Oryzias latipes: one gene and its partners. The main gene of each other region encodes a partner of the protein of the gene in region 2 in a complex. Links are inferred from orthologs where the notes say so. Each region holds a gene or a part of one and is shown on either strand. Other genes may lie near its edges. The genes, in order: nup54, nup58 and nup93.

Region 1 (4,302 bases), on a different chromosome or scaffold from region 2:
TTAAAACCTCCAAATCCGCCCAGGCCAGCTGTGCCTAACCCAGTTCCAAACCCCGATGTTCCGGTTGCGGTTCCAGCTCCAAGCCCGGTTGGGAACCCAAACCCTTTGTTCTGTGTGTTCCCAAACAAGCTTCCTACAACACAACAGTTTGGCCACACAAGACGGTTGAAAGCATGCAGCGTTTAGGTTTTTCCATTAAACGTTGTGCAGAAGAAGTGCAGCAGAAAAGAACGGTGATTTCTTTAGAGGGAGAGTGACCCCTGGTGGCAAGAAGGTCCAACATGAAAACGGATTTAAAAACAACCCCTACCCCTACATAAAATTGTAAACAATCTTCCAATTTGATTTCATTTTTGATTCAAGCAAATATGATAAAACATTGATTTATTTACTACATTTCCATCGCTAAAGCATTTATATTTTGTAATAAAAAGCATTTGACATAACTAGTAGTTTAAACTAAACAAAGGTGGAACATCTATGCAGAATTTAGTAACTAAAATGGCCATTTTTTTTCTCCAAAGGGTGACTGATTCCTGCTCATCTTTAGTGTGACGAGCACAGTTGATCTCTTTCTTGGAACTTGGTGCTGACCTGTTGTGTTGGAGGGGTTGACAAAACTAAAAGAGGATCCCGGTGCAGCAGCAGTTGTAGTTGTTGCCCCAAAGCCTCCAAAAGCGCCTGGGAGGTGAAGAAAATACAAATAAATGTAATACAAGGAGGTGACCCTTAAGAAGAAGCAAAAATGAAAGAATAGAACCATAAATGAACACAAAAACAACATCACAATTTTTAAAGAAAACAAATCGAGACATCAATACAGCATTGCTCTGGAAACTAACAGTCAAATGGAAACCATATGGGATGAACAGCTTATAATTGCACAAATGTTATGCAAGTGGAACTACAGTAAACCAAGTGAACAGCACACAATCAAGCATCAAGTGAAATGTGGGGGGAAAGTGGACAAATGAATGAAGATGTGTTTTTTTCTTTTAACAGACACACAATGAACTGAATCACAAAAGTCATCTACCTGTGCTAGCCAGGCTATTACCAAAATTGAAAACAGAGCCAGTGGTGGTTGCTGTACCAAAGCACCCCACATTAAAGCTCACTGCAGCTGGGTTGGCATTTAAACCAAACCCCCCAAAACTAAACCCACCAGCCGTACTGCCTCCGGCTCCGAGCCCCCCAAATCCTGCAGCCGGGGAAGGCAGGCAGCAAGAAACAGAGAGTGACACGGAGGGGTTACAAGAAATTAAGCCAAGCCTGGCATACATTTAGAAGAAGAGGAGGAATTTGTAATAAAAATAAGCTTGAGAAGCAACACACGAGCTCTTTCTGTGCCGCATCTTACCAGTGTTGGTGGAGCCAAAGCCGAATCCTGTGGCTGGTGCGGTGGTGGTGGTGGCTGCCCCAAAACCAGGAGCTGTAAGAGCTATGAAACAAATCAAGCAGCTCATCAAAGATATGAAACCTGCCCTCAAAATAAATAAGATATAAAAAACAGTGTAAAATTAAACAATCAAATGAATGATCAAATATAGTTTACTAGCCCTATTTAGGGCAACTAACCCACAAGCATGTTTATTATTTGATAAAATATTCATCTGGATCTATTTCATAACTTGTTTCATAAATTGGAAACAGCAAGATTATAAAAATGTAGGGTTTTGTTTGGCCTCAGTTTTCTTTTCTTTTCTTTAAATTGTACATACTGTAATTTTATTCCACTGCACTGAGATTTTGTTATTTTGGTTTTCAATCTACTACAAATAAGTACATCATCATGATCAGAGTTCCTTCTGGTTTGTTTTAAGATATTTTAGACCTGAATTTAGTCCATCTTTCAGTGGATTAAACAGTCATTCTCTCCAATGGATCAAGCAAGTAGAGAATTCAGTTTCCCACAACCACCAGGCTAAAAGGAATTTCAGTTCAAGCCCCACTGATCACCTGTTGATCTATTGTAAACGCGTTACCAAGTAGTCTTTTAATTATGATTATGCTGTTTAATAATAAAATATTCATCTGTTATAAAAATTTAAGACTTAAGACTCTGCAGGTTAACAACAGAGCAGTTATGAAAAATAAATCTAACTGGTCATGTGCTTTTTTTCTTCGTTAGCAAATAAAAGGAGCAGGAATGGGTTAGAAAGCCCCCGAATATTACATTTTCCACAGCATCTAAATGAATTGAAGACGCAGACTTACTGCCAAACCCGGACGAGGCGGTGGTCGTGATGGCTGTCGGGTTAAACCCAAATGTGGACGCTGTTGTCTTGGCACCAAAGGAACCAAATGAAAACCCGGACGTACCTTTGCAATGACACATGATACAGAGCGCTGTTAACGGCAGCTAAGTACACATAGCTCAACAAAACCGTGCTATTTTAAGTATTGTCAAAAGCTTTTAATTGCGTAAAAAAATAAAAGCCAGTTTTCGCAATTGACCGTAACTGTAGCTTAACGGCAGTTGCTGTGATCCGCTAGCACAGCATATATATAACTGACATAAACACACAAAAAACATGACAGCATAGCTTCGATAAATATATATTTACTCCTAACTAAATAAATATGATAAAACTTCACAAACAACAGACATACTTGGTGCTGTGTTGCTCGTGGCACCGCCAAAACTGAACGCCATGTTGACTGCTTTGGGAGCGTTCTTCTTCTTCTTCTTCAGAAATAACAGTGAGCGAGTAGGATCCAAAGGAGCTCAGTCCTACCACCTGGTGACCGGGAGCCGCAACGGCTTGCGAGCGTCAAAAAAGCTCCGTACCGCCACCTGCTGACCATGACCCGCAACGGCAAGAAGCTCCAAAGGAGCTCAGTACTGCTCAGGGTTAGGCCACAAAACTAAATTAATCAATAACAAAAAACAAATTGATTGAAAACAATTCTCAACAAGTGCAGACAAATGTAATGGAGCTTGTGAAATGCACATCTGACAGTATATATTACAATAAAAACTATTTTAACAGGGAATATTTGTAAAATTTGTAACTGGATCCCTTCCAAAGGAAGAATAGATTTCAATATACTAGAATATAGACCTTATGTCTAATACAGGCTCATAGTTTTCCTGATGTTTATTTGGAAAAACACAGAATACACAACATTTCCTCTTCCCTCCTAATTCACTATAAAACATGTCTTTTTCTAATTATATTTAAAATGACAAATAAAAAATAAATTCATTATTATGAAAATGGCAGGGTTGAAAAAATATTTACTAAATATGACCAAAACAAAAAGACAAAAAACAAGTACACATCCACTTAAGCTACTTTTTATTTCTGTGTGCAGATCAAAAGTAACATTCAAAAACAGGTGAACAGGCAGGATACTCAATGGTTACATTTGCAGCAATAATTTCCAAGATGAAAATGTTGATTGAAATGTGGCATTACAAAGAAATCCAGTCGTAAGCATGTGAGGATGATCTGTTTTGGTTTTATCAATGTAACAAAATAATTTATTCCCTTCAAAAACAACTACAGACATTGCATAACACTGTCTTGTAACATATGAGACGGAAGCTACCAATTTATTCGCTTGTTCTCGTTAATCGAAATCAACTACATTATAAAAACGTGTGGATTTGTTTAGCCCTCAGTTTAATTATTGTACATAATGAATTTTAGTTTGCATGAAAAGATAATAACACAAAAAAACTCAAAAGGAGAAAAATCTCAACAGCCTGATATATACACATGGATTATTACATAGTATGAAAGAATCTAAATCACAGATGAAGTGCTAAAACCAGTATTGGAGCCTGCACAGAATAAACTGAGCAGCTTTTTATTTGAGGAATACAAGATATGGCACATAGAGACACTTTGACCATGGAGGCTATACAAAAAAAAAATACTTCGGTCACATGTTCTTTTTTTCTTGGCATCTGGACGGAAGCTAAAAAGTTTCATCAGAAAAATCAAGTAAAGCAGTAACACTGGTTCATGTTTATTAAAAAAAAAACATGTTCTGCATTATTTATATCAGTTAGTGGAAGCATGTTAAGGACACACATCATGTCTTATTTGGAGCTTTAGATAAACTACACTAAGCGTTAGACTCAAACTTCACTTTAGCATCTCTACATTAACATTTACAGAAATACGCCAAACGTATTTTTTCTTTAGAAAAAAATAGGACAGTATCTAAATATACATAGTTTTGTTTGACATTCATCCTCATCATGCATAGCTTGCACACTCAAATGAATGCCAAGACTGCTTCTAGATTTTAGAGATCACAAATGAATGAATCACCCAACAAAATTCATTC
Region 2 (4,085 bases):
ATTCTACCAAATGTAATTTTTCTTTTATGTTTTCCACCTTGAATCATTAGACGTGGACTTATTTTACAAAGAACCCACACTTTTGCGTTTCTACAGAAACTTGAACTACATGTGTTCAGACATTTGTGCTGGTTTTACCTGAGCCGTTTCCTGTTTTAACTTGTCAATGGCCAGAGCTTGGCGTTGCAGACCGCTTGCATTCACAGAGAGAAGCTGTTTGAGGTTCTTGATGTCATCTTGGACTTTAGATATTGCTTTTGAGGACATCCTGCTGATCTCTTCCTGCACCTGTTTCTGTTCTTTGACAAATTTTCTGTAAAAGAAAGTATCGAGGTGATCCAAGGCCCAGAGTCACATCCAGAAGTTAATGCATGATGCCGCAAAGTGTGAAAACACTTACTGAAAGTTTTCAACATCTTGACAAATAACTGGGGGCAGATTCTCATCTTTTAAAACTTTACTGTCCCTGAGGGGAAAAAAAAGAGAATACTTTGTGTTTTAGAAGTTCAAAGCAAGATAAACTTTTTCTTATATTTTAAAAAAATATTTTACAATAAAGTAGAATTGGGTCAGTATAGACATTTCAGTTTCACAAATAAAAATGTACATTAAAGTACAAAACAACATACTGCTCACTGGATCCAGATAACGTGTCACTCTTATTCTCTGAGGAAGTGCTGAAATCAACTCCACCAAGGCCAATACTTGGAGCTGGGGCAGTTGATGCTGCAGTTGAGGTACCAAGCAAAGAACCTAATGTTAGCCCACCACCTGCTCCAAGAGTGGTTTGCCCCAAACCTGGAACACAAAGATACAAGTTAGATAAAAGTAAACAGATAAAATTAAATGGTTATGTGGACATAACCACAAGTCTAGTCAAGATTTTTGTCTCACCTGTAGACACAGAACTGCTGAACAAACTCCCTCCAAGTGATGGCACTGTTGAGGCTGCTGTGGAAGCTGTTGAGCCACCAAGACCAAGGGAGAAGGTTGTGGCTGCCGGCTGCTGCGGAGCGGTGGAGGTTAGGATAGAGCCGAACGATAAACCTGTTCCAACAGTTGAGGAGGCGGTACTGGTGGTGAGTGAGAATGGTGATGCTGAGGCAGTAGGCTTGCTAAAGGCTAAACTGAAACCAGTAGTGGCAGCTGTAGAAGCTGGTGCTCCACCTGCGACAAGGCACACATAACATCAATCAAAAATTTAAATCTGTGATTTAAAAAAGAATGAGATGGAAAAACTAGCACACCTAATGTAAGGCCTGTCGCGGGTGCAGCAGCACCTGCAGGAAAAAAAAAAAGACAACAGATTGGTCAATACATGAGTGGTAATCAATTCTTTCAAAAGACATTTCTATGTTAATCTCAACTTTGTTCAAACATATACATATATATATATATATTTACTTGAGGTAGGTGTATTAAAAGAAAATCCTCCGGTTGGTTTTTGGCCAAAAGGATTTCCTCCTAAACCAAGGGATGCTGTAGTGGTGGTGGAAGCAGGGGTTGCAGCTGCCGTTCCAAGAACAGTCCCAAAAGAAAAGCCGCTAGTACTAGCGGCAGGTGCACTACAGACAGAAGTAATCACAGAGTCTGATGTCAAACACACTGAAAGAAACCAGCAAGAAAAACAAATATCGAATATAATAACGTACATAAACAGATTTACCTAAAACACATCGAAATGAAAGAAGATGAATAGTTCAAGAAAGAAAAGAAAAAAAAGGGGGGGGGGGTGTCAAACATCTACCCACTTCAAAAATCTACACAAAAGCCTAAACCATAATACGTGCAGCCAAGAGGCACACAGCTGCATTTCCCGCACGTTTTGAATGTGCGTCCAAGGCTGAATTTTGTTGTTGGCCGCACTTATTTAAAGTTAAAGTCCCATTAGTTGTCACCCTTCTGTGTGAAATGTGCTCTCCTCATTTGATCCATCCCCATGGAGTGCAGTGAGTGAGCAACAGAAAACGGCCGCAATCAGGAAGCATTTGGCGGTTTACTAACTGTAACCGTTATCCTAAACCATTACCTTCTTCTGGGGGTCCGTGGGGTCAAGAATATAAAGTTCAGCACTGGCTGTTTTAAAAATGATGTGTGAATAGACACTTTGTTGTTATTACTTTTCGGATGATCTCTTAGCTACAAACATAGCTAAAGATTGTAAGTAATGTTGGACAGGTAACATCAAAATCATCCTACATTTTCGCTAACATCTTAGTTTAGACGCTACAAATTCCCCTATAATAGTTCCTCCTGTACCCGGCAAAATCGCCGCACAGAGGCAGTAACTACGAGGGAAGCACGTTTTCGTTAGCTGACAGGACAAGGCTATGCTAGCGTTAGCTACCTCGAGTCGAGTATATTTAATTGTTGTTACCTGGTTGCCGCTCCGAATGAAAATCCTCCACCTGTGTTGTTGGTCGCGCCAAGAGCCCCCGAACCGAAGTTAAAACCAGACATTTTAACCTAAGTCGTCCACATTTAACACCAAAAGGCTACGTGGGCTTCATACACTTAGGTAAACCTTAGCCGAACAGCATCACACGATTGTTAGCTTGTAACGACGTCCGAAACTCAAACCCACACAAGCTTGCTTGTTTTTGAAACGTACAAGGGAAAAGCGACTAAATGTCTGACTTCTAACACTGAAAAGTTTGACGTTCACGTTTTTTGACTAACTGTATAAAATAAAGGCAATTATTAAAAACAAGTTTGACAAGAAGCTATATAGCACGGCATCACTTTTCCTATTACCCGCCTGGTGTTTCTCTTGCCCTACACTGATGAATTATGGGTAATATTCTCAGAACTACATTTCCTATCTTTCCCTTGAATTTTTTTCAACGTCTGTGACTTACGTTTAACGAGAAAAGAAATGTAAGTTCCGGTAATTCTTTCAACGTAAAATATAATTTAATCTGCTGGGGTTTTTTTTAATCGAGATTTTGTGTGACTAGCTGTGAAATGGCTCTTTGTTTCCTCACATTTCTTAATACGCTTAAGTATTTTAAGTTGAAAACAACCTTTTTGTTTTATATATATTATAAAAACGCTTTAAAAAATTTGCTCATTTGCGTCAGTTTTGTTTGCTCCATGTGCATGTGATGTCACCTTTAAACTTCTCTAAAATATGATACTTTGGCATGACCATCCATTGTTTGACTTGAATTCTTAACATTTAAAGTTAATGATCAGCTTGATGCATACCACTGAAAATATATGGAACATATATTCAATTATTCAGGGTGCATTTCCTTTTTAAATCGAGTTTGAAAATAAGGCAACGATGCGTTACCTATCGACTTTTATTTTGAAAAGTGAAGAAACCTGTTCTGGTATTCATGCGTGACTTTACGCGGATGGAGGGATGAAGGAATGAAAAAAAAAACACTTATCGTATACCGCAAAGAACAAGAACAGTGAGATAGTACAGCAGTTTAATGTATTAAGCTATAAATGACACCGTTGTTTCTGTTAGGCCGCTTTTGAACCTTTTTAATAAAAGGCTGACACCCGACTGGCGACTCGGAGAAATGGAACATATCCGAACGCCGAAGGTAGCTGACATTTTCTTAACAGTTGCATATGTCGGGGGGATGCAGTCAGCAACTTGGCCTTGTTGAACTGTGAACATTTAGTTGTGTATTGTTATTGCATTTCGCCGTTTCACTAAAGTGAACGAAATGCACGCTTTGCAATCTGCTAGCATAAAGGCTAGCAGGTGTCATGATAGCCCCAAGGAGGTGACGTGACGATCGAGCATCAGTATGTTTGTGTTTATTTTTCTTTTTGCCCGTTCAGTTTATATTCCTATGTGTTCTCTAATGATTTTGAATGAAAGATTTTGATCGCTTTACTCGATCACTAACGTTGGAGAAGCAGCATAAGTGAAATTGTGGATTCATAAAAGTCATCAAATCATTTATGATTTAATTATAGGCGTTGAGAACAATGACCCTTAGAGCTAAACTTATTCATTTAAATGCTGCCAGCAAGTCATAATCTGCTGATTTGGTGATAGTAGTAAAGGAAAAACCAGCCCTAGCAGCCTTTAGTCTTCAACTCAGTTTTTAAAATATATAAAC
Region 3 (3,521 bases), on a different chromosome or scaffold from region 2:
ATTTTAGTCATTCTAACAGTTAGCATTCTTCGCTTAATTTTCCCTTTTTCAATGATTGTGTGAAACTCCTGTGTTTCTAGATCATTTTACAACTTTCTGGTGATTTCTTTCGAGTGTTTTTTTCCTCTTTTTAGGTTCCCTCCTTTTGCAGTGCATGCATGTACTCATACATGCATTTGTGCATCATCTCCTTCTTCCAAGAAAACAAAAAACTTTCACGTTAGTAAATGAAATAACCTAAGAGATTATGTGTGCGGCAGTTGTTGTGTACCATAATCTTCCAGGAGCTGCTTCTGTAACTGTGGCAGGGTGAGTCGGTCCTGAGGAGAGCTGCTGCCGTCGTCATCGAAGCACACCTGGTTCAACTGCACACATTCACATTCATTATTTAATCATTAATTATAACACGTTCATTAAGCAGCTCGACCATTCGTTTGCGTCAGCTGGGGTCCGTTCCTCAGACAGTTTCATTGTGAAAAGCAGAGGATAAATGTATCCTCCTTAGATTAATGCCAAACATGTTCAAAAGAATAATTTTGGTTAAAAATCTACAGTTACTTCAGGCTTTTAATCCAGATTTTAAGTACATTTGACTTGTTTTCTAGCACTTGTGTTATAAAACAAAGTTGGAAACCTACAAGGCAGAATGGCTTGATCTAAAATCATCCATTACTCGAAAATAATGCAGATTTTTACACAGAAAATTCAAAACTTGATCGTCACATTCACAAACTGATTTTCCTATTTAGAGATCTCTTGTATTTTCCAGGTAAAAAATGTGTTAAAATGTTAAAACTTTATTGATCTAGGATCCACTTTCGCTTACTTTTAGGAAAACAGCTTTATTGAAACAAATTCTGTGCAAAATTGATGGTGAGTTTAAACTGATTGCAGCAGTGAAATACCAAATGACCCAGAAAGGAATCAAGTAAATGAGGTGACCCGTACCTTCAGCCACAGATAATCTTCTGTCTTGTCCGCCACCTCTCCGTGGTTATCGTTGATGTCGCATTTCCCGATCAAGCAGTAGACGGCCCTCTTGTAGGGGTCGGCGCTGTTCCTCAGCACCCGGCGGTAGTGAAGACGGAGCTTGTTCTCCGAGGTCGGGCAAAGGCTAAAGACAGATCAAGTGTCAGACGACTGAAGACAAAAGATGCAGGGAACGATCTCATGCAAGCAGGCAATTGACGAAAGAAACGTACCGCCTGTCCGGGCTGTTCATGTACTCCTGAAACCAGGTCTTGAAGTCTCCCAGCTGATGTTGCACTCTGTTCACCACCTGCATGGCTGCGTTCAGATCGCCGCAGCGCAGACAGTAGTAGATCACCGCCCACACAGGGTGACCCTCCACTTCACCGTCCTGATGCACCAGAATAGAACCATTAAAAGGAAACCTAGCATGAAGAATGACCTGCTATTGACTTCAGGCAGTGAGGCTACGGGGCCACGATTATGGGGTCAGATCAGCATCAGCTTAAAGACATTTGAAGCAGTATAAAACTTGAAAGTACACATTGTCAACTTGAAAGAAAAAAAGTTTTTTTAAATGACTAAAAACTTGAATTAAAAAAGTATAAACCTAAAACTGTTTTCAGGTGAAAAAGAAAGTATTTGCAACAGCTGTTGTTTAGTGTCTATAATTTTGGGGTGTTTTTTGCCAGTGTTTAGCATTTCTCTCCCTCTTTGCTTAAAACCTGTGAACTGAGGTCAATCGTGTCCCGATAGCCAATGGGCTGAAAGCTCCACAAAAATGAGTGGAAACTCCAAAAAGTCTGATTTGAAACTGTAAATTGAGAAATGAAAAAAAAGGGAGAAAAAAATGAAAATACAAAACAGCTGCTGCAATAAATAAACATTTTTTCCTTTAAAAGTTGTAGGTATTTAGCATTTTATTCAAGTTTTCAGTATTATATAAATAAATTTCAAACATGCCAACTCCCCCCTGTATTTTCAGTATTTTTGTCAAATTTAAAATGTGTTTTTTCGCAAAGTGACTACTGATTAACGGAAGGTCAATTTAAGGAAACGTAAAATCAAAATTAGGAAACAAAGAAACAAAAGGATGAAGCAAACAGCCGCATGTCTTTTGACAAACTGTGCATGAAAAGTCCCTATTTTCAAGCCATTATTTCTGTTTGTTTGAATTTTCCCGCACTGAAGAGCTTGAGCTATTTAGCTAGGAGGTTAAGTGATTTACAACCGTTTACCAACTTTCGACACAGTGCGTCCTGGAAATGCTTGCGTTTAAGACAAAGAAAAAATGTAAATCCCATTTGACAGAAATTTAAACAATTTATTGCTTTATAAGTCCTTATTTAATTTAAATTAAATTCAACACCTTTAAAGGCTTTTTAAGGATCTCCGATTGAAGTGTAAAACAGTTCCAATCCTACTTTTTGTTTTCTTTTCTGGTTTTTCGTTCACTTCATCAAGCTGACCCTGGCTTGACCCCATACACGTTTCCTCACATTAACTCTTCATTCTAACTGATATACTGTAGGACTGATACCTGCATGCCAGGTAAGGGTCCGGGCAGTTTGATGTTCAGAAAACTGCGGACCAATTGGTACGTTCCAGGCACCCCTCCCAGTTGGGCCTGATGGAGGTTCCCGAAGACGGTCACCATGGTGTAGTTCTTGTAGCTGCAAAGAGGATGAAGACGTGATCGCATGTGGAACTTCTGACACTGGCTGGTTTGTTCTTTTTTACCATAAAAGTAGAACATTTAGATAAATTACTAAACTAAAATAGCTGACCCTCAGATCAATTCATCTTTTCTAATAAAATATTTTTCTGGGGTTACCTCTTTATCCTCAAATAAAAAACATCATAACCCTAAAAACTGGGAAAGTCTTGTTTTTGATGATTTTTTTTAAAAAGTTGAGCTTTTTCTGATCTATTCTGCATTAAAACGTCCGCATGACTTCCTGTTTGGCATTTCTCTTTCTAATCACACAATCAAATGACGTCAGTGTCGTCGTGGAAGTAATTGTTGTCCAATATAAGAAATGCACACACCTGTTCTCCAAGACGTTGAGTGCTTGACGAACAAAAGCCATCTGCATTTCAACAGAAGTTCGACTCTTCAGGGTGTCTTTAGCTGGAACCAGCAGAACGTCCGTCATCTGCTTCACCATCAGCCACATATCTGAAACGTTCTGGAGAACACAAATTATGTAATTTATTTCTTCAAGGTGGGCTATATAGACAATTTACTATTATTTTCTTTTTATAGATGGCTTCCCATCATTTTATATCACTTCTCCAGGTGCTGAACTGATAATGGTTTCTAATTATTTATAAAAAGGTAGAACAAATTTTCCCGACTTGTTATTATTATTATTTTTAACTAAAATGCACCTTCATATTTACTCCACTCAAAGATTTGGCAACAAAAGGCTACTGTTCTTACCTTATCATCAAGGCTTTCTGCCACCGATGCACATAAATCTCCCAGATTCGGGTGAATGTGTCCGTTCACTATCTTCTCGTTGAAAATGTAGATCTTTAGGTTGGAAAAC

What was found.
Region 1: the proteins of nup58 (region 2) and nup54 are in contact, whole or in part, in a crystal structure (PDB 4JO7), measured with the Homo sapiens proteins. The link is inferred for Oryzias latipes from reciprocal best matches to the Homo sapiens genes NUP58 and NUP54. Residues at the interface, in NP_054808.1 of Homo sapiens: Pro342, Tyr345, Phe346, Leu349, Val350, Phe353, Gln356, Leu357, Tyr360, Gln363, Ile364, Leu367, Leu371, Gln374, Ser378, Ile392, Tyr393, Phe396, Leu399, Ala400, Leu403, Ile406, His407, Val410, Lys414, Tyr417, Tyr420, Arg421; in NP_059122.2 of Homo sapiens: Tyr453, Leu459, Glu462, His466, Leu467, Gln469, Gln470, Gln471, Gly473, Leu474, His476, Leu477, Ile478, Ile480, Ile481, Asp484, Leu485, Ile488, Lys489, Leu490, Val491.
Region 3: nup58 (region 2) and nup93 share a complex: the UniProt entries of both Homo sapiens proteins name them as parts of the p62 complex. The link is inferred for Oryzias latipes from reciprocal best matches to the Homo sapiens genes NUP58 and NUP93.

The regions. Positions count from the first base shown.
Region 1 is NC_019870.2:10,484,165-10,488,466, forward strand, and holds the start of nup54 (nucleoporin p54), read right to left. Parts: upstream 2,801-4,302; 5' UTR 2,657-2,800; coding exon 2,614-2,656; intron 2,323-2,613; coding exon 2,218-2,322; intron 1,442-2,217; coding exon 1,361-1,441; intron 1,202-1,360; coding exon 1,166-1,201; intron 682-1,165; coding exon 595-681; intron 134-594; coding exon 1-133. UniProt on the Homo sapiens protein: Component of the nuclear pore complex, a complex required for the trafficking across the nuclear membrane.
Region 2 is NC_019878.2:13,571,140-13,575,224, forward strand, and holds the start of nup58 (nucleoporin p58/p45), read right to left. Parts: upstream 2,808-4,085; 5' UTR 2,461-2,807; coding exon 2,378-2,460; intron 1,566-2,377; coding exon 1,405-1,565; intron 1,281-1,404; coding exon 1,248-1,280; intron 1,168-1,247; coding exon 895-1,167; intron 799-894; coding exon 630-798; intron 467-629; coding exon 401-466; intron 314-400; coding exon 139-313; intron 1-138. Other genes in the region: mtmr6 (myotubularin-related protein 6), read left to right, coding at 3,534-3,557. UniProt on the Homo sapiens protein: Component of the nuclear pore complex, a complex required for the trafficking across the nuclear membrane.
Region 3 is NC_019864.2:28,042,505-28,046,025, reverse strand, and holds part of nup93 (nuclear pore complex protein Nup93), read right to left. Parts: intron 3,506-3,521; coding exon 3,413-3,505; intron 3,159-3,412; coding exon 3,019-3,158; intron 2,643-3,018; coding exon 2,510-2,642; intron 1,361-2,509; coding exon 1,203-1,360; intron 1,115-1,202; coding exon 949-1,114; intron 366-948; coding exon 272-365; intron 1-271. UniProt on the Homo sapiens protein: Plays a role in the nuclear pore complex (NPC) assembly and/or maintenance. May anchor nucleoporins, but not NUP153 and TPR, to the NPC. During renal development, regulates podocyte migration and proliferation through SMAD4 signaling.